5 linked regions of the Mus musculus genome follow. The protein of the gene in region 5 purifies or fractionates together with the protein of the main gene of each other region. This does not show direct contact. Links are inferred from orthologs where the notes say so. Each region holds a gene or a part of one and is shown on either strand. Other genes may lie near its edges.

Region 1 (4,059 bases), on a different chromosome or scaffold from region 5:
TTGCCTTTCTCTTTAACACTGTGGCTATTTTAATCGGATTCCATCTGCAGGGAGGCAGTCAGTGTAACAGAGGTGACAGAATCAGATCTCCCTCTGCTGCCAGATGGGCCCCACCCTTCTAGAGAGAGTCGGTTGCTGAAGCAGTAGGGGGCAGGGCCGTCATGCTGCAGCAGCACCATTCTCTTAAGACTACTCCCAAGCTCAGAAGCAGTGCCGGAAGATTACACATACTGTAGTTATGCAGAAATGCAGCTGAGGGGGGCAGGTGGGGTGGGATGGGTGGACTCCTCGCCTCCAACTCCTCACCTCCAACCCTGTGCACAAATGGCATTTAGCCCCGCACTCAAACCACTGGGGGCAAGGACAACGGCGAGGCTGCTGGAGTGTGCCTGATGCCGGGCTCAGAAGCAGCTACCATATTCGATCTGTTTTTTTGTTATTTCACCTTGTCCTCCTAAATGCCAAAGCTAATTAGACTTCTGGTCAATGCACTGAAGCAACACACTCCCTGGGTTGCCTGGCTTGCTATAGTTCCTTAGTGCAGCACTTCTGAAGCTTGGCTGCAGTGGCCAAAAAACCAAGGCAGCCTAGGGTAGGGCAAGGCAACTGAATCAGAGAAGCAGAAACGGGGGAGGGGAGCCCAGGAAGCTTTCAAGGGTCCTTAAGTGATTCCAACGTGAGGCAAATATTAAAAGCACATCTGTAGTTTGTGTCTCCCCACCTCCACCCCCACCCCATTCTGCTCACGGCATTTAGGCCTCCATTTATGCTTGTCTTTCTCTACTCAGATGCAGGTCTCTGGAGGCTGTGGGAGCTCACCGAGGCCCGACGGTTCACTGCCATGCTCGGCAGCAGCCTACCAGCTACAACTCCTGGAATCCCATTCTCAGTACCTGCACTCCCACAGGACTTGAGATGTTGCCCAAGCATCTGAGCTGCCTCAGTCGTTTTCTGCTTCATTCTCTCGAAAGTGCCGCTACAAAAGGGTGACCCACAAAAATCAAAAAACCATAAAACCAAGCATACTGGAGTTCAATCTACCTTGTGAAGGGGGAAAAAAGGCTCTTTTATTTCCACTACCACAAAGGAGTAGGCAGTCATAGATAGCGCTCCCCCCAAATCCCAGTAAAAAACGAAACATCTTCATGACAACATAACAAATAAGAGTCAGATTCTATTGACTCTGTCCACACTGGCGCACTGCCAAAAGGAAGGGGAGGGCAAAGTCTGAGGCCTGGTTTAATGTCCACAGCAGAGATGGTCATTTGCCGGTGTTTGTCAAACCCAACCTCCTATCTATGGAAACTGGAGCGAGACAGAGTAATAGCCCAATCTGAAAACTGTGTGGGCTGGCTCTTCACAGGACTATCTTTAGTTGCTCCCTCTGTGTAAATGGGGCAGGAAGGGGCATTTAGTAGGCGTGCTACTAGGAACACTTGCTCTCCTAGCAGGGCAAACCCCTCTTGGAGAGGAAAGAGTGGACGCTGAGAGCCACGGTCTCCTGGGAACTACCTCACTCATCTGTGCAACAAGGCCATAAGCAAACACCTCTCATAACAATGCAAACAAACCAAGCTACTGCAGGGAGGCCTTTAGACAGTGATGGGAACATGGTGTATCAAAACGTCTTGTTTCTGAAGACTGGTTACAGAGAAAATACATCAGATGCCGATTTATTATGTCACAGCATGCTGGGAAAGGGTTCAGCCTCCTGGGAGTTATCACCGAATCTTCATATTGTGTTCTTGTTTTTCCACATCAGCTCCTAAAAGTCTCATCTGTAATGGCCCAGCTCTCCTAAAAAACACTTCATGACAACAGGCGGAAGAGCTGACGGGTGATGCAACCCTCTTTGAATATCTTTCTAGCAACGTTATAACTACACAGGGATCCTCTCAGATGGGTTAGGGGACCTCCTGAGAGATTGCTCATTGGGTAAAGGCACCCGGCTTTCCACCCTGGAACCGTATGGTGAGTGAGAACCTGCAAGTCGTCCTTTTAACTCTATACACTGCCATGCCATGCATGTCCTTTCCCAATCAATGTTTTTTAAAAAAAATGCGTCAAGAACACAAAAGTGCCATTACCCGATGATGCCCTTGGGGTCTTTTTAAAACCGGCTAATGCTAAGCTAGGTTCCCTGATCACCACCACGTTTGTCTGTGAAGAGAGGTTACGCGGGATGGGAAAAGAGGCGTGGGGGAGAGTCAAACAAATCCGAGGCTTAGGGAAGCCCTTGGGGGGGGGGGGTCCACGAGGGGCTACTTCTCTTGAAGAAGCTTTTCTCCGCTCCCACAGCACACCCCTAAAAGCCCAGTCCCCATTCTTCCAGGGACTGGCTGCAGATCCTCCCTCAGGTTGACTTCGCGTTTTTGACGAGAGTCTCGTCAGCATAGAGGGACCTCTGTCCCCCAGGCCTCCCAGGAGTTCAGAGCGGGCCACACTGGGCAAAAACGCTGTGTCAGAGTGGCCGCAGGCTGGAGTTCCTGGGCCCAGGGGAGTCCGCTTGGTGTTGCCACCCCGCAGCATAGGGTCCCCTCACCTCCATCGGTTGATGCCCACAGACGAGGAGGCCGCGAACCACGGGTCGAGGATGTAGACGCAGCGCACACAGCGCGCCCCGCGCACGGCAGCTAGCAGCGCGGGGTTGTCGTGGAGCCGTAGTCCTTTGCGGAACCAGTGCACCGAGGACGCGCCGTCCGCGCCCATCGATTGCGCGGGGACCGTCGCTGCCACCACAGCAGCCGCCGCCATCGCCGCCTGGACTGGGTCTCGGTCTGCCGCTCCGCCCGACCGCCCCGTTGGTCCCGCCCAGCGCCCGCCCAGCGACCTATGATGCAGCCTCTCCCTGGCATGACTCCGCCCCAAGGAGTCTGGATCGCCTCTGTGATTGGGTGAGACCCGGTGGGACCCTCCCTCTGTTCCATTGGTCAGCAGCGTCGGCGCAGGCTCCGCCCCCTCACGTTCCCACCATGTGTGGTCCCGCTTGGTAGCCACCCGCCGGTGACGCAGGACCGCGCTGCGTCCGCCCCGCGTGGGCTGAGTCTGGAGGGACCTCGGATCTCCTACGCATTTCGCGTCCCCGGGAAAGACAGGGGTTGCGGTGACTCCGGCCGGTGGCTGACAGACCTGTTACCGGGCCCTTTCTAACAGTTCATTGTCCTGTTCATATGTGAGGCTGAGCGGTGATTGCCTTACACAAACTGTCCTATTTTCTATTTTCATCTCATCCTGGTAACGTTCATTTCATAAACACGAATAAAACAGATGCTTGTTAGTCTTACTCTGCAGATGAAGTAAGCTTAGGGCGCCCCAGTTTGAATGACTTGCGCAATACCATGAATCCAGTAAGATTCCACTCAGAATCTTCCGATTTCAAAATCCACTTCCTCGCAGAGAATCTTGGTATTTGCATACAGAAAGGCATAAGGATAAAGGAGACGCCCTTTTATGCGGCAGGAGTGGGTTTGGGAGAAAGGACAAAGGTTTCAGAGGACGTGGGTTGAGGCAGTAATTATGCCCTCAAATGAATTCATTTCTTTTACGTTCTGTTTAGCAGACACAGTGCAGTTATTTTGCACAAAACTCTGAACTGGATTCTATGTGGGAATCAGAGATGTGCAGGGCAATATTCTCCTGTCTCCTTTGGGAATCCTTTGATTCTTTGGAGATTCTGGCAGAGTTTGCTGATTGAACAAGTGCAGCAACCGTTGCACTTGGGCTAAGATGGGCTAGTTGGGATGGAGGGCTGGAGCTATCCAGCAGAGAACTGTTCCGATTTGTCCTTGTGTTGATCCTATGGGTAGTCACCTTCCCCATCTTGGGAATGAGCAATGAAAGAATCTAGAATTTAGTCAGCAATTTAATGGCATTAATTGGCACCACTCTCTGACTACAGCGTCATTACGAGCCTCTCATTTCCAGCGCTTTGGACATGCTGTTCTCTCACATCACATGCCCCAGCCCACACCCTCGTGCCTCCTGTTTTCCCTGTGACAGCTGTTATTTTCCAGTTTCCTGGGCCCAACCTGCACAGGGGCTCACCTCATTTGGTGTCTT
Region 2 (4,244 bases), on a different chromosome or scaffold from region 5:
ACCAACTCAAGGGTAAAAGTGTCATGAGATAACATCTGAGGTTTACAACAGCTTTATTATAACTCACTACCTGATGTTTCTGCCAGTGTATTTTAAAAGCTTTAAGTTATGATTTTCTTATTTCTGCTATTTAAAAAAAAACTTTATGAAACCATTACACATTGGCAAGTAGTTTGGGGGCTGTCCTGAATATGTGTTGTCAGGCCATGGTAACTCATACTTGGCTCCAGAATAAACAAACTATCATGTATTTCTTATGAAGTGATACCTGTGTTTTTGAAAGCACAAAAAGACCACCAAATGAAAGAATATACCCAATTGAATTAAAGAACGAACTCAATGGTGCTGAAATAAACTTTACTGCTTTTGTATTATGCCAGGCCCTAACTATATACTTCACCATCTCATCCCTGTTTATTCTTCAGAACAACCTGGGAGAAGAAGGTGGGGAGATGGGGAAGGCCTACACTTACTTATTCAAGTCCAAATACATTGACAGAAATAAGTAACGTGAGTACACACATTTCACTTACAGGAATTACACACAATTCTTCAATTACACGGATAATTGCAGTATTAAAGTTACCATGTGCACATATATACATATGTAATGCTGTTTTGGTCTGGTTTTGTTTTCCTACCAGAACTCCAAATTGGGATACATGGTTGATACCTGGAGCTACAGCCCAGTGTGCTAACGCTAATTCTTAGTAAGGAAAGAACTAGCAAGTCTGGTAAAAATTAAGAATAATTTGAACATTGTGCACGGTGCTCCCATACGCCAACCTTACTGAGTTTAGAATCAGCAGTTAACCTACCCCGCCCTGTAGATTGTCAAATTGAGTCTTAAATGTTCTATGTACATGATCTCTGTCCCCCCCCCCCTCCCCCGGGGCGACCACAAGAGTTAGATACCTCCGTGTTAGTTACAGGCCTGTGAGTACATCGACAAGAGAGCTGTAGGTTAAAAAAAAAAAAAAAATCTAGATTTCAGTCCAGTTTTGTGACATTGTGACAGCTATCTTCACTTTAGACAATGTAGAGGAAAAAAAAAAATCTATCAAGCAGACCTCTGCTCATAAGCCAAAGGCCCAGTGTTACATTTATTAATAAAACATTGATGTGAAAATCGTCATGTTCAAGAGACTATAGATCATAAACATGCAAAGGCAATGCTCGCAAATCACAGAATGATTTAATAGTCTTTGCGCCCCGCCACTTACCCACACCCCGAAATCAAGGGTCCTGTTTTTCGCTGGAAAATATTTTTATTGCACCTATTCATTTTGCCAATGAAGAAGAGGGGAGCCAGCGTACATCCAGGATTACAGAGTACCAGCACCACGGAAGAGCCGCAAGGAACCAGCTCCAGGAAATAGATTCCGGGTATTTCCGGTAGGGAACGCCTACGTCACCGGAAGAAGGGCCGGCTGCTAGGCTTTAAGAAATACCACGCTTATCATGGCCGCTTCGCTAGGACGGAGCCACACCTAACATGGACGCGGTGAGGCCCGCCCAGGCCCATCCCTCGATGACACTTCTTCGGAAGACGCTAGAGGCGGCGGAAGCGGAAGCGCTGCGGAGGTGGGGGCCGCAGGAAGAGTCTGTCGCGATTCTCGGTCCCTCTCCACCACAAAAACAGACGGAGGGCCGGCGTAAGTGAGCCGCGGCCTGGGAGGCTGTCGCGACGGTGGAGGTGCGCGGTGGTGGGCAGATGGAGGGGTCCGGGGCTCCCACCGCCCAGATCTTCGATCTCGGGGTTCAGGAACTCTGGGGCCTAGAGCGACCGAGAAAGGAGAGTCCGAAGTGTAGCGCTGGCCTTTCAGGCCTTGCTCCCAAGGCATCGCAGTTTTCTAATTCCGCCACGCAGAGCCTTGCCTGGGGCTCGGTTTCATCCCCCAAATGCGAGACTTGGGCCAGACCTGGGGCCCCTCCCCCAACACACACACCCCAGGCGTCCGCAGATGCAACGATTTTAATGTTGAGTCGTTTGAGTCAGTCAATCGAGGAACGCCTGCCCTCAGTCCGCTGAGGAAGTAGCCCTCCTATGATGCGGTTAATTCATCGTGGAAAAAAAGAAAAGAAAGAAAGAAAGAAAAGGGAGACCCTGGTTTTTGTCCCACTGTTACTGTTTTATTTGGGGGGAGGGAGGAATTCCCCCTCATTGTTTTGAACCTTAAATGTCTCATCTTTTCGAGAAAAGTATCTCGAAGTAGACACTGGCTTAAATCTGTCTCCCCCTCTCGCCCCCATCCCATCACAAATGGGAGATACAGTAGGGTTTCTGTAAAGCCATTTTTTTTTTTTTTGTATTTTTTTTTTCTGGAGAGATGGGAAAAGCACATAGTATGTAATTATAGACTGAGAATATTCGTGTGATTTTTTTTTAACTTTTGTTTGAGAATTACCGTTTTTAGATGACTAGAAAGACATGCTCATCCCTCTTGTCATAGATTGTGATGTTGCAGGTGTGCTGTGTTTGGGAGAAGGGTGTCAGGGGTGTGGATGTGTGTGTTGTACAGTGTCGTCCATCCTTTAAGCATAACAGCCATCAGTCTTTGCCAAAGCATGTGTGACTTCCTACAAAAGATCCTGCTGTTTGTCAACATTCCTTTGTAGAAGGTGTGTTTGGGGGGCAGGGGGAGGGCGAGAGGGTGGGAGCAGGTCTTTGGTTCCTCACCTGAGAGTCAGGACTCTCCCTCTGTACCTCTGGCCATTTGTATGTAGTAGTTCTGCCCTGATTGTACTTGGCCTTTTGGTGGGGGAGGTATTAAAGTAGAGTCTGGGAAGTTTGACTGAAGAGGAGAAAAGAATTCCATGGGAAGCCATCATCCATACCAGGTGAGGGCTTGACAGTCTGGCTGCTTTCCAGTACACCAGGCTCCTGTGTAGCTCCTCAGCCATGCTGTGTAAGTAAACCCAAAAACCCATTAGTTCCCCAAGGTAAACTTTGGTGGAATTGTATGTTAGTTTGTCATTGGGGCCTCTTAAGGGAGATTTATGTCTCTAGAGAATGAATTCAGACAACACAGCAAGTGTGTGTGTGTGTGTTTAAATGGTTGTGTGCCTGAGGTACACGTTTCATTTTCATTCAGAAGGACATAACAGAAGAGAAAGGGGAAACTAGGTTTCACTGAAGTTAAGTGGTATAAAAGTTGGTCTTGAGTTGGAATTGAAGGCCTAGGTACTTATTTCAGAAACGGTGCGTTCTGCCTTAGAGACAGACAGCATATTCTTCTGATGCTCATTTTCATTATTTGTAAAATAAAGGGTTGAACTAGATTCCTTGCCCTTTCATCAGTATAGGTTCCCCCCTCCCCTTTTAAATCAAAGCAGTGTGGCGGATGGATGACACTTTGAGAGCAAGAGGACACATTATAGATAGTGGATACATAAAGTATTCTGTGAATATTAATTACGTGATGTGCAAGGTTCCACTGATATAACAGAATGAAGCCAACAGGCGTTAGATAAAGAGGCATTAGAAACCTCATCGGCAGGAATGACCTAGGCAGTGTAGGACCCATGGGATGATTTAAGATCTTTGCTCCAGGTTAATGTTTTGTTTGTTTAGGGCAATGAGATGTCATTTGATCTTAGTAAGTTGGGATGATTGAGGAAGCAACCTGACCTGTGGAATCTAAGAGTATAAGCCAGGTGGGAAGGCTTTGCTGCCACCTTGTACTCACCAGACAGTAACTGAATGAGTGAGGAGATGGAGGAAGGCCTAGATGCCGGTGACCGAGAGCAAGGGGTCTTTTCAAGAGAATTGCTGTTGATCAGGTACAGACCAAGACCTTGATTCCACCTTGTGGGAAAAAGAAATCTTAACAGATCCTTGCCGTTTCAGCTAGTTTTGTGATGTCAGTTTAGCTCTTCTCTGTGAAATACTAGTGTTGCAGAGTGCCATGTGTGAGTTGAGGAGTGGAGAGGAGTAATTACTCCTTTCTAATTAGTAGTCAGTGATAAAAAATACTGACAAGGTAGATCAGGTAGAGGGAGATTGTCGGTTGAAAGGGGCTTAAGGAGTCCAGGAGGTTGGGTATTTATAGGCACAGGTGTTTCAGGCTTATGCACTACAGTGTTAAGTAAATACATCTATGATAGAGTACACAATTAAAATAGCGTAATTTCAAGCAAGTGAATGTTAGAGCATTAAAGCTTAAGACAGGCACAATTTGAGGATCGACCCAAATGATTTTGTCGGTTTATTATAGAGTCCTTTCTGCTGACGACATGGCAGA
Region 3 (4,200 bases), on a different chromosome or scaffold from region 5:
GTATCATCCTACACTGGGTAATGAAGGTACCACAGGGAAAAGTGACATCTGGGCTGAGTTTCGAAGAGATAAGTAGACTTCTGAAAGCTCACAGTTAGCAGGGCAGTGGTGGCGCACACCTTTAATCCCGGCACTCGGGAGGCAGAGGCAGGTGGATTTCTGAGTTTGAGGCCAGCCTGGTCTACAGAGTGAGTTCCAGGACAGCCGGGGCTATACAGAGAAACCCTGTCTCAAAAAAAAAGAAAAAAAACAACAACAACATCAACAACAACAACAAAAAAAAAACAAAACAAACCAAAAAACAACCAAACAATAACAACAAAACCCCTCACAGTTTAATAGCTATTCATGGAGGTTTTCTGACAAAAACCTTCCAGTAAGTTTTAATCACCTCTGTGCCCACTGAGATACCCTCCTGACTCCCCAGGACTAAGTCACCACTAACCTGCTCTCCATCCCTGTGTACTTGCCCATTGTGGATAGTTCATATAAGCACAATCATCAAGTATGAAGTTTTATGACAGCTTCTTTCAGCTAACATGCTCTCATGGTTCACCTACACATTTCATGGCATTTATCAGTATCTCATTCCTTCATGGCCAAGCAAGTAACTGGTGCATGGATACACACAACAGGAGGCCCATTAATCAGCCGGTTGGCACGAGGGCTGTTTTCACCTGTTGACTGTGATAATACAGCTCTTTTTGTTCCGCTCAACCCCACAACCAACTTGCCGGCACATCCACACAAGCCATTCTCCAAGCTTGCACCCGGAAATGAACGTCTCCTAAGCGGTGTCCACACTTCTTATCCAGCTTCAATGCCCGATCAGTCACGTTCTCAGAATCCCAACCAAAGAAGGTTTTTTTTCTAACTTACGTTAGATGACATCACTTCTCTGCTAATACCCTTGTACTGCAGTCATTTCCACTCTCCTGGGGTAAAGTCACAGACCTTAGTGACGGCGCATAAAGCTCTAGAATCTGGCCCCCGTTACAACTATAACTTCATCACCTAGTACTTTCCCCCAGAGGTTTTGCTCGTCATTCTGGCTGGCTGTTCCTTCCAAAGATCAAACCCATTCTCACCTCAGGACCTTTCCCTGGAATGTTCTTCCCTTAGACAGCTGCATCCCATGTCTTCAAATCGGCGACCACTTTCTCCACACATCCTAGCTGTGGTAACTTCCAGTGAGCTACATCCCCAGCTAATTAACATTGTTTTAAATTGTGTCCCCATCCCTATTCCTGTTTACCTCGTCTTTTCTTTGCAACACGTCTCATCTCCAAAAGGACTACATACGTATTTTTTTCTTGGACATATGCCTGAAGAGGGCAGACTTCTCGTTCACAGCTCTATCCCTCATATCCAAAGACACGGCTGGCACATAAGCTATCAATATTATCTGCTGAACTAATGCTTTCGTTTCATTCCGCCACACAATCGTCTATCCTGTTTTCCCAGGCACAGCTCACAAAATGTCCGGAGGATTTCTTCCAGTCGCAATTCCCTAGAAGGATTATACTTTGCCTCGAAAGAAAAACTGTGCTTTGTCTTGTCAACCACAAGGAGGAGTTGAGAGAGAGAGTTGGGAAACCAGCTAATTCTTTCCCTTGCTTTTCCTCCTCTAACCTCAAGGGGGAAGAAAGCTGGATCCGGAGCCCGCTATAATAAATGAATGGTTTTTCTCCACACTATGAGTTACCTAGACACACACGTCAACATTAAAGATTACAACCCTTTCGGAGGCCTAAGATATCAAGGCCATTATGATCTGGGAGTGTTTAATTCTCCTCCTAGTTATTTCTCGCAAATCAGGGAAGGCGTTCCCATCAACACAGACACATAACTTACCGGTAAAAGCTAAAGTGTTTCAGGGTCGTCAATAATCTCTACTACTAAGTCTGTACTATTTAATATTGACCACATCTACAATTCTTTAACGATGTAGGCAATTCGGTCCCTGGACTAAAACCAAATCTCAGATCTGACACTAACGCATCGACACCCGACTCGCGCACACCGCGATCGATTGATTTCCCAAGCGCTTCGGACTCACCGCCACCTGTTGATGCCCACGTTGGAAGAGCCGGCGAACCAGGGGTCGAGGATATAGACGCAGCGGATGGTGTCGGCGCCCTGGATGCACTCCTTCAGGGCGGGGTTGTCGTGGAGCCGGAGTCCCTTTCGGAACCAGTGCACGGCGTTCACCCCCATGCTCGGGGCGCGGCGGGTCACCCCGACTTCCTCTACCGAGAGCTTCAAGGGAGGGAAGCCGGGCTCATAACCGACACCTGCGCTTCCAAGAAAACCTCCTCACCCGAGGAGTGGGGAAAGGGCTGCAGAGAGGGGACGGGAGGAGGCGACGCCGAGGCGGGGCGCGGAGGTGGCGAGCGCGCAGCTGGCAGATGAATGGAGGCTGCCGAGGCGCCGGGATCCACGCGCGACGTCCTTCAGGAGCCCGCGCCCAGCGTCCGGAGGACACGCATACCTTCCAGGGCCTGAGACCCCCGGAGCGCAAGCGAGCGCGCGGGGCCCGAGCCGCCACGACGGCCCGAGCTGGTCGCAGCAGCCCCGGGAGGCTCGTCACGGAAACCTCGCCCAACCGAGGCGACCCGCGAGGAGACGGTGGCGCGCCCGAGGCGGCCTCCACGAACGGACACGAGCTCACGCGGCCTCCGCGCGACGCGGCCTGTGCGTCCCGGAGTGGGCAGCGAGCTCGGAGAGCGCGGGCTAGAGCTCCAGGCCGCGGGACGCTCGCCTGCCGGTCACCGGTCCCGAGGCTGCCCGGGTGACTCCGCCGCGTCAGCGGCCTCCGCCCCGCCCCCGGCTTCTCATTGGGCGGCATGCACCCCACGTGACCACCGGCACCTCACGTTTCTGAAGTGTGTTTACTACACTGGCTCAGACCCCCGCGTGCGCCGCCGCGCCCGGTGCTTCGGGACCGGTTGCGATCGCTGGGCGCTCACGACCTGAGTTCTCGCGTGGGATCCGGACTCGCAGCCTCTGCGGGTCTCCTGAGCCCCAGGCCGCTCGCGGGGGCCACAGGCCGCGAGAAGGGGGAGGAGGCATAGTTCTGCTCCCGGGGCCGGGAGCCGCCTCCATTGGCCGAGGCTCGCGGGGACCCGGATGAGCACGGGGCTGCGGGGAGCTCGCGGGCGCGCGCTCTGCCGGGCACGGCGCGCGTGCGCTGCGCTCTCGCGGTGGAAGAGAAGAGGCTAGGACGCGGGAGCGCGCCCAGGGCTCTTCCTATGGGTTGTGTGGAAGGTCTGAAGCCAGTTCCGTGTGCCCTGAGAGTTATTGCTGGGCTGGGTGAGAGGCAACCGAGGCACAGTCCTGCCTCTCACCCAGCTTCAATCAGGTGTTAATCGGAGTCCCCTGCTCTGAAAGGAGCAGAAATCACGCCGTTAGCCTTTTTTACTGTTTGGGGCGGGCACCTTTGCCCAAGCTCTGGAGAAGACAGGTCCGATCTCAGATATTCAGCATTTCATAATACTGTAGATACATCGTCAATTTATCAACTCTAATCTATTACATGAAGTGTAGTTTAGAAGGTATTTTGATTAGGTTTTTGGGCTTTTTGCTTTGCTTTTTTTTTTTTTTTTTTTTTTTTTCTTCAACTGAAGTTAAATGGGAAGAGGAACCTTAATTGTAGTAAAGACTTCCATCAGGTTGCCTGTAGGGAAGTCTGGGCACTTTCTTGATTAATGAGTGATGTGGAAGGACCCGACCAGTGTGTGTGGCGCCACCATTAGGCTGGTAGCCCTAGGCGGGTTGTATATGGAAGCAGGCTGAGGAAGCCACAGGGAACCAAAACGGCTTTCCTCCATGGCTTCTGCTTCAGCCCTCTATCTCCAGGTTTCTGCTTTGAATTTCTGCCCTGACTTCTCCCCACGATGGATTATTAACTGTAAACGGCAACAAACCCCTTCCTTCCTGGCCAAGTTGCTTTTGCTCATGATGTTTTATCAAAGCAATTGAAGTCTAATGAGAACACAGGGCCACATGTGCATCTTTACCAGACTTCCTAGCCATAACCTACAGGCCATGCCTTAGACATACAATGCCCTTTTTGTTGAGACGGGGTCTCGCGGAGCCCTGGCTTACCTTGAACCTGCTGTGTAACTGAAGATGGCTCTTGGTTTTGCTCTTATCCCTGAGTCCTAGCATCACCTATGTGCATATATTCATCCAGGGTTA
Region 4 (4,130 bases), on a different chromosome or scaffold from region 5:
TTACATGATGGTGTTGCAGATCTACCGTCTCTCATCTGTGATTCCAAAATCTAGGAAGCAGCTTTGAAAACCAAAGTTTACCTTTGTAAATCATTTACCAGCAAATTGTCTTAATCTGATTGACTTCATGATAAAACCTGATTTAAACTGACACGAAGCTTTTTCTATTTTTTTTTTAAATCCCACTGAGTGCAAGTATTCACCTGTTTATTGTAAAAGCATTGCCATTTTGTTAGCAGATATCAGCACTCAGTCTCATTGGACCAATATAAAAAGTATCAATGGTATATTCTTTTTCTCTTCCTAAAATATACTTTTTTTCAAGGGTCTTGTATAAATAATAGACAACTTGAGTTGTCTCTGTGTTACATCTTGAAAACTCAAAGGTGCAGTAATTTCCCAGACCTCTGCACCCAGTAAGCCCATGGGTGAAGTGCTTCAGTTCAGACGTTCTTCCTGATGCAGCAGCAGTCAGTCGCTGGGATGCAGGGTGCACCGACACAGATTCAGAATCGCGACCAGTGGCTTGTCTAGGTCAGCAGTTGCAACCCATTGTTAGAAGGTTATCAAATATTTATGTCTTGAAAGTTGCTTCAAACCTTCTCCACATACACATCTGTTTTTAAAAACACCAACCTCTTCCAGGCTTGTATGTGTTGAATAATGGAGTCTCAGGTGGTGAGAGAATGCCACATGCATTGTTAAAAGAACTAATCAATAACAAGAAATAATATTTTTCTTCGTAGGTATGATTACTGATCTTTTTATAGATAAATTTAAGTTCAAAGGCACTAATGTAAAAACCAAAGTACCCATGCTCCTGGAGATTCTCGACAGCTACGACCAGAACACACTGATTTCTTTCTTCGATGCAGCATGAAAGATAAACAAGGTAGGCCAACAGGACAGCCGAAGAAGCAAGCAGAGCCTGATCAGACCCGAGGCACCTCAGATGGACGTCCCACATGTAATCAGAAGAGTGACGGCCTCTAAGCATCCCCCTACGAGTACCCATGAAAGTCCTTTTTATTGTGTACTTGAGGGGAAAAGAAGATCTTTTAGTCATTCATTTCAGGGGAATATTGCATTGAAAGTTTTAGAATACTATTAAATAAGAGCAAATAAGCTGTCTTTTGTTTTCAAAGGGTAGTTATGAAAACAATGATTACATTTTATTATATTTTATGTATGATTCTTAACTATTAAATGTGAACATTTAAGGTAATATACTTGTGTCTTTATATATTTATTTAGGTTTTGTATATATTTCTCTGTGTGTGTGTGTTTGGGTTGGTTTTTTTTTTTTTTTTTGTGGTTTTTGTTTTGTTTTGTTTTTCGAGACAGGGTTTCTCAAGACAGGATTTCTTTGTGTAGCTGACCTGGAACTAACTCTGCAGTCCAGGCTGGCCTTGCACTCAAGAGATCCACCTGCCTCTGCCTCCTGAGATGCCCGGAAAAGGCTTGGCCATCGCCTCCTGGCTGCCCGGTTTTCTTATGAACACTTTTTTTCTACTTTTGAGACATCATCTCACTACATAGCTGACTTGGACTAACTTGAATTCAGAGATCTGAAACTCTGGGATTAAAGGTATGTACCACAATGCACTTCATTTCTAAATGTAATATCTATTTGGGTCAGTGGAACTTCATGGTCTGATGTCACAACCAAGGATTAGCAAAATTAATGGACAGCTGAATTTCTTGTAGTACACCACTTGTTATCAACAATAGCTCATGTTGGCATTTTAAATTAACCCATCTTTAATTGGGGGTGGGGGTGGGGTAGTTTACTGGAATGCGGGGCATAGAGACACGCCTTTAATCCCAGATCAGTGAGCTCTGATAACGGATATCAGTGAGTCACAGGACAATTGGGACAGCATTATGAGACCCTGCCTCAAAATCAAACAACAAACAAATGATATACAGGAGAGGTGAAACAATAGTAAACAGTAAAAGTTCCAGCGTTTCCCTATGTTGTATGGCAGCATCACAGAGAAAGAGAAAGGAGTAGTGTACCCAGGACGGGGCAGTTTGTCATTCAGATCCATACGCTCCTGCCTAGGCGCCACCCAGCGACCAGGAGAAGGCGCTTCACCCCTTAGCTGAGGCGAAGGCCGACACCTCGAGGCCCCGAGGGCTTGTCTGGACCGCCCAGCGGCTCCGGCAGGATCCTATGAGGCTACAGATCCACTGAGCAGCAGAGATCGGCCGAAAGCGGCCGCCCGCCCCGCCCTCCTCTGCGCAGGCGCGTCCTCAGGCTCCCGCCCTGTAAGATTCCCGTCGGGCCTTCGCTCGCGGCGACCGGCGCTTCTGGTGACGTCACGGACTCCGGACGCCCTCATTGGTTTATTTCAATAGTCGCGGGCTACTTGAACTACAAGACCAGCAGCCGGCGGGCGGCGCGCAGCTCGCGGCTCCTGGGCTCTACGCTCCTCCCGCCTGCAGCCTCTGCTCCGCGGGTCGGCCGCCAGGGTCCCGCGCTGCTCCGGAGCGGCGGGCGCTGTGCACGCTCTGCCGCCGACAGAACCGGACCGGAGCCGCGATGCCGGGCACCTCGAGGCATTCGGGTCGCGATGCGGGCTCAGCCCTGCTCTCGCTGCATCAGGAAGACCAAGAGAATGTCAACCCCGAAAAACTGGCGCCAGCCCAGCAGCCGCGGGCGCAGGCGGTGCTGAAGGCCGGGAACGTGCGTGGACCCGCGCCGCAGCAGAAGCTCAAGACTCGACGGGTAATAGGGCGCGGGGGTCTGGAGGAGGGCCGGGCGGGAGCGGTCCTGGGTTTAGCAGCCCAGAGGGCCGGAAAGCACGCTGAGCATTCCAGGGGGAGTCAGGCTGCAGTCTTCGCGGTCCGGGCGTTTCTAGTACCAAATAGTCCCACGAGCTCTGCCGACCCGTGTAGACCGCCCTTCGGCACTAGTGGCGCCGCGTTCCAAAAAATGCCCGGGGTCATACCAAGCGTTGCCACTCGCGTGTCGACTTCCCCCAGCTGTGTACCTTTCCCTCCACTTTTAAAGCCAGGCATTGCATTAGGATGTAGATCCCTTCCCCCTCACCATCTGCTTCCCAGATTACTACTTCAGGGAAGGACATAAAGCAAGTATTCTTCGTGGTAAATTCCGCCATTTTAGCCAGACTTGCTGTTTTGCTCCACCCTGGGGCTAAAGTTGTGAATCAGTTCTTTGCCCTAACTTTAGTCTTTGATTAGTTTGGAATTCCAGTCCGTTCTATTTATAGCCTTTGTAGAAATGGCTGTGACAGATCGGTTTACACACCTTTACCTGGGCTTTGCCTCATGGACTTATATGTTTCTTAGAGTATTTGGAATTAAAAGCTGATACCCACCGGGCTAGAAGCAAAGTTGTATTGAAAAAGATTCCTCCTCTTTAGGTTGCTCCTCTTAAGGACCTTCCTATAAACGATGAGCATGTCACTGCTGGTCCTTCATGGAAAGCAGTCAGTAAACAGCCTGCCTTCACCATTCATGTGGATGAAGCAGAAGAGACTCAGAAGAGGCCAGCTGAGCTTAAAGAAACAGAGTGTGAAGATGCCCTGGCTTTTAATGCAGCTGTCTCTTTACCCGGAGCAAGAAAACCACTGACACCTCTTGACTATCCAATGGATGGCAGTTTTGGTAAGGTTGCTTTTTATTTTTACCAGTCTCTCTTCCTTCTTTCCCTCCTTTCTGTCTTTTTATTCCCCCTCTGGGTTTCTTGAGTATCCTTGACTGTCCTGAAACTCAATCTGTAGACCAGGCTGACCTTGAACTAAGAGATCCACCTACCTCAGCCTCCCAAGTGCTGGGATTAAAGGCATGTGCCACAACCACCAAGCCTGTGCCTTTTATTTTTGAGACAGGATCTCAACCTGTAGCTTATATCTTGATATTTTGAGTTTTAAGATTATGTCTTACCCGATCATACACAGTGAGTTAAGATTACCGCAATCTCATGACTAGTACTGACCTATGAAAGGACTCAAATCTTTAACCGGCAGGAGGGCACTGCAAACCAACATCAAGTTTAATTAGATCGTAAATATCTATCTTAATCTGACTTTATAAATGTTTGGCTAGGAGAATAGATTTCAGTTTTGTGTCTGACTCACTCCTTAACATGCCAGCCCTAAGAG
Region 5 (4,227 bases):
AAGACCTGGTAATTCAACCCATTGCTTGGTCTCTCTGCCCAGTCTTGTCCTAGAGAAGCTGTAGTCTCTGGTTTCTTTAGGAGGCCCTGTGTGGAAAAGTCTTTTGTCTTCGTGGTGCCAGGAATACCAATCATGTGCTCACTGGTTAGGTGAGCCTGGCGCCTTGGTGGGGCTAGTGATGCTCCCTAGACACAGCAGGGCAGGGCAGGGCAGGGCAGGCAATTGCCCTCTTCCTGGCTGGGCTGAGGCCAGATGGGTGCTTTCAGGCCTCTCCCTTTACTTCAAAGCTGTTTCATTCTAGCGACCTTATCACAGCCTTCTTTGAGCCGCCTGTACAGCATAGCCTGTTCAGGTTGAGCCTGACTGTCCCCGTTCATTGCTGGATGGATCCCCAGCACTGGCCTCACAGATTGGCCTAGAGCATGGTTACCCAAAGAATGTAACCTCCATGCTACATTCACATTGACTCTCTCCAGGCTTGGCGCTTCACTCCAACAATGGCTATTTGGGGGCCTGGAAGCCTCTTCAAAGTTCAAAGGTAGGAAATAAAGGTGAAGATTAGCCAACAGGGTGGTCCTAGCCTCGAATCTCCAAGCTGGCTATTGGGAGGCAGACAGATCTGAGTTTAAATAGCGAGCTCCAAGCCTTATATAGTAAGACCCTGTCTCAAAACAAAACAACAAGAGTTTCAGGCAAGTATATATGTGGTGAAAATGCCTGTGACCCCAGCGCAGGTGGAAGGAGATCATGAATTTTAGACCAACCTGGTCAACATACTGAATTTACAGCTACTCTGTGCCAAACAGGGTCCCGTCTTAAAATGCAAAGAAAATAAAACTTTAAAAATCAAATAAGCAGGTGTACCATGTCAGGAGTATTTAAGAATTCTAAGCCGCCTAGGTTAAAGAAACACCTTTGTCTCAACATGGCATACATGTATATATATATATATATTTAATTCAGTATCAGTAGAGAAGGTTCAACTCCTGAACCCCTGGTCAGCAAACTCAATTCTATTTCCTTAGGTTATTAGGAGAGTAACGGTGGTCAGGCTGAGGCGACTCCTTTAAGGAAAACACACACCCACAACCGGTTTTGCGGTTTGTTGTTTCCAGGCTTTTCCAGGACTGGGGTCTTTCAAGCCGTTTAAGACAGCCCATGCCTGAAAGACCCTTCGGGTCGAGATGGTTTCCCAGCCGGTGCCGGAGTCCGCTTTGAAGGAGAGCATGGCGCTGTTTAGGCCAGCGGAGTAAGGAGGACGTCCCTCTCTTGCCCAGCCACCCCTCCACCCGCCGCCGCTCAGCACCTCTCCAGGAGACCTCTGCGGCGCTCAGGGTCTGCCGCCTGTGTTTCGACTGCCGTCAGGCGATCTCAACGGCCAGCCCGGCCGGCTGTGTGACGTCACGGGCTCGGGGTCCTCGGCGCCTGCGTCCCGCTGCTATAAAAGGCGACGCCGCGCGGCGCCGCTCGAGTGGCCTTGTTCTCGATACTTCGTTGTGGTTGTGAACTCTGTCCGGCAGCCTCGGGCCTGCGGTCTTGAGACGGAGCACCGTGAGTAGCAACCCGCGAGCCGGACACGTTCCTCGAGGGAGGGGCTGGGTGGGAGCCTCGCGTTGGCTGTGGAGTGCACGAGGCGGCGAGGCGACCTGGCCTCGTATCCTGAGGCGCCGTGCGGCCCGTTGCAGACCCCCGGACCGCGGGAGGCACGAGGAGGCCGAGTCAGGCCTTCAAGGGTCTCCCATCCTTTCGGCGCTCGCTCAGGGAAGAGAGTCGAGCCCTGTGGCAGGCCTGCCGCTTTGCAGGCGACGTCAGTCGGCCCCAAACGCGACTGGAAGGCCCAGGCTTCGTACCGGGCCTGCCTTAGCGACAGGCTTGCTGCTCCGCGCTCCAGGCCGGGTGGGCAGCGAGGCTTTGAGTAGGGGTCCTGGGCCGTTCCAGGTGGTGGCTGTCGTTGCCATTTGATTCTTGGCTCCCTCCCTTTTCTCCTGTATCTGGCGTCAATTAGCTCCTTATTGGTCTCACCTTTTTAACCACCGAATATGCAGGTAACAGACTCCCAATGTTTCTTTGCGTTTTGTCACGTTCTGCAGTCTCTGAACTTGTTACTGTAATAGACACTGTCGTCTGAGGTGTGTGGCATTTGACGCTAAAACCTGAGGTGTTTGGGTTTTTTAAGGGATAGTGCTAAAACCTGCCTTCTGGTTCACTTTTTCACGGAGTCCTCAGGTTTGGAGACTCAGTTTTTCAGCAGAATGTTACAGTAGACTGTATTGTGGCATAGAACAATGCAGTCTCTTCCGTCCTGCAGTGTAGTAACAAGTGTCAGAATTTCGAGTCACTTAAAACAGGTTTGTTTTTAAAGTCTGGTATACTAGAATTCTCATGCTAGACTTGGATGATTAATTTCCAAGTCTAGGAGCTTAGAGAACTGAAGAAGGGTTTTTTGAAAGCATATCAAATCGAAACCTCATACATTATTACTTAAAAATTTTGCACTTAATTCCAACACAACAACAAAAGTGAAGTCTAGGATTACAGAGTGCGTTGAATTACAGATTAACCGATTGCCTCCCTGTCATTTAATAAGATCCTGGCTCCCTTGCAAGTAACCTAATACCTAAATTTGACTATGACTAAGCACATCTTTATTTATTGTGAATTATTTCAAGGAAATACGGGGTGGTCTTTTAAAATAATTTTATCAACTACATAGACTTGTTCTGGAATGCTCATTGTAGTACTAGAGATCATAAAAAGAACACAGTGTCTTGCTATTAAAAACTGGCCTATTTTAACTTTTATTGTTGCCTTATCATAGGGAGGGTCTGCTGCTCTGACTTCTCTGTTCTGCAGACATGTTTGTTAGTTGAAAAGTGAACTCTTGAGTCTCTTCAACCATGGATGAGTGGGAGCTGGGTATTTCAATGGATGATTGTAAAACAAGCTTTACCTCTCCCAACCCCCTTTCTTGAAGCTTGTTTACTTGAGGAATTGGGGACAAGTGTCTCAGAAAGCTGAATGAATATTTTAGGAGATGTGCTGAGTCTTAAGTGTTTGACCCTAAAATAGGTGTAGTAGTTATTTTAAATGCTAAACCCTGTACTTTTGTGAAAAATCGCGTTAGTAATACAACTCAGATCCAGAAATGCTTAAGAAGTACCTTTAGAGTAACATTGAAGGCTTGTATCTTCCTTAGAAGCACAGACCTGCCTAGTTGCATGTGAGGTAGGGATTTTGGTGCCCACCTTTAGTCCCAGCACTGGAGGCAGCGGCAGGTTTATGGCTGAGTTCAAGACTAGTCTTAAGTTCCAGGACAGCCAGGGTAATACAGAGGAACCCTATCTCAAAAAACAAAACAAAAACTATCAGAAAAAAAGTTGCTTGTGAATTTTAAAGAGGTCTTGAATTAATCCTCTTTTGAAGGGATGAGGGGGAAATCTGATGATAAGAAATTGCTGGCTTAGAGCTTTTAGTATTAATACTGATTTGTTTTTATTTGGCTTTTTTTTTTTCCCTGATGACTCATTTTATATCTCAGTTGATAAGGTTTTGGATTTTTGTTTTTGGGGGGATTTGTTGAGTTTAGTTTTTGAGACGGGGCCAAGAAAACCAGGCTAACCTTAAATTTATTTTCCTATGTGTCAAGAAGATGGTCATAAACTCCTGATCCTTCTATTTGGCAAACTGTTGGGATTATGGGATGTACTTGCTTGGCTCACCTTTTGGGGAGAGGGGGAGAGGGCGGTGTTGCAGATTGAAATAGAGCTTTATACGTGTTAGGCATTATACTAAGGAGCTATATCTCCAGCCTCTTTTGTATTTCATTTTAAGCAGACTCTTACTGAGTTCCACCAAAGCTGGCTTGACCTCATTATGTTACTTAGTCCTTGAAATTATGATCCTCACTCGGGCATCTAAAAGCTGGGCATTACAGGACTTTTCTCTGTATAGCCCTGGCTGTCCTGGAACTCACTCTGTAGACTGGCCTTGAACTCAAAGAGATGCACCTGTGTCTTGACTCCCAAGTGCTGGAATTAAAGGCATACACTACTACCATGCCATTTTAAATTAATTTATATTTGGTGGGTGTTTTTGTTTTTGGAGACAGATTCTTACATAACCTAGGCTGGATTTGAACTTGGCTGTGTGCCTGATGTCTGAATTCCTGTGTCTCAAGTACTGGCTTTATAGGTGCCTGCCACTATGACTTAAATGCATTTTTGTAGT

The links.
Region 1: the proteins of Skp1 (region 5) and Cry2 purify together in Homo sapiens (co-immunoprecipitation; 3 studies listed by BioGRID and IntAct, with this or other methods). This does not show direct contact. The link is inferred for Mus musculus from reciprocal best matches to the Homo sapiens genes SKP1 and CRY2.
Region 2: the proteins of Skp1 (region 5) and Fbxo38 purify together in Homo sapiens (affinity purification with mass spectrometry; 6 studies listed by BioGRID and IntAct, with this or other methods). This does not show direct contact. The link is inferred for Mus musculus from reciprocal best matches to the Homo sapiens genes SKP1 and FBXO38.
Region 3: the proteins of Skp1 (region 5) and Cry1 purify together in Homo sapiens (co-immunoprecipitation; 4 studies listed by BioGRID and IntAct, with this or other methods). This does not show direct contact. The link is inferred for Mus musculus from reciprocal best matches to the Homo sapiens genes SKP1 and CRY1.
Region 4: the proteins of Skp1 (region 5) and Ccna2 purify together in Homo sapiens (affinity purification with mass spectrometry; 4 studies listed by BioGRID and IntAct, with this or other methods). This does not show direct contact. The link is inferred for Mus musculus from reciprocal best matches to the Homo sapiens genes SKP1 and CCNA2.

What each region holds. Positions count from the first base shown.
Region 1 is NC_000068.7:92,431,270-92,435,328, forward strand, and holds the start of Cry2 (cryptochrome-2), read right to left. Parts: upstream 2,801-4,059; 5' UTR 2,755-2,800; coding exon 2,543-2,754; intron 1,040-2,542; exon of another isoform or gene 789-1,039; intron 1-788. UniProt on the Homo sapiens protein: Transcriptional repressor which forms a core component of the circadian clock.
Region 2 is NC_000084.6:62,546,064-62,550,307, reverse strand, and holds the start of Fbxo38 (F-box only protein 38), read left to right. Parts: upstream 1-1,444; 5' UTR 1,445-1,696; intron 1,697-2,046; exon of another isoform or gene 2,047-4,244. UniProt on the Homo sapiens protein: Substrate recognition component of a SCF (SKP1-CUL1-F-box protein) E3 ubiquitin-protein ligase complex which mediates the ubiquitination and subsequent proteasomal degradation of PDCD1/PD-1, thereby regulating T-cells-mediated immunity.
Region 3 is NC_000076.6:85,182,255-85,186,454, forward strand, and holds the start of Cry1 (cryptochrome-1), read right to left. Parts: upstream 2,801-4,200; 5' UTR 2,218-2,800; coding exon 2,060-2,217; intron 2,006-2,059; exon of another isoform or gene 1,133-2,005; coding exon of another isoform or gene 1,089-1,132; intron 1-1,088.
Region 4 is NC_000069.6:36,570,239-36,574,368, reverse strand, and holds the start of Ccna2 (cyclin-A2), read left to right. Parts: upstream 1-1,330; 5' UTR 1,331-1,588; intron 1,589-2,065; 5' UTR 2,066-2,545; coding exon 2,546-2,731; intron 2,732-3,389; coding exon 3,390-3,633; intron 3,634-4,130. Other genes in the region: Bbs7 (Bardet-Biedl syndrome 7 protein homolog), read left to right, coding at 747-880. UniProt on the Homo sapiens protein: Cyclin which controls both the G1/S and the G2/M transition phases of the cell cycle. Functions through the formation of specific serine/threonine protein kinase holoenzyme complexes with the cyclin-dependent protein kinases CDK1 or CDK2.
Region 5 is NC_000077.6:52,230,568-52,234,794, forward strand, and holds the start of Skp1 (S-phase kinase-associated protein 1), read left to right. Parts: upstream 1-1,427; 5' UTR 1,428-1,551; intron 1,552-4,227. UniProt on the Homo sapiens protein: Essential component of the SCF (SKP1-CUL1-F-box protein) ubiquitin ligase complex, which mediates the ubiquitination of proteins involved in cell cycle progression, signal transduction and transcription.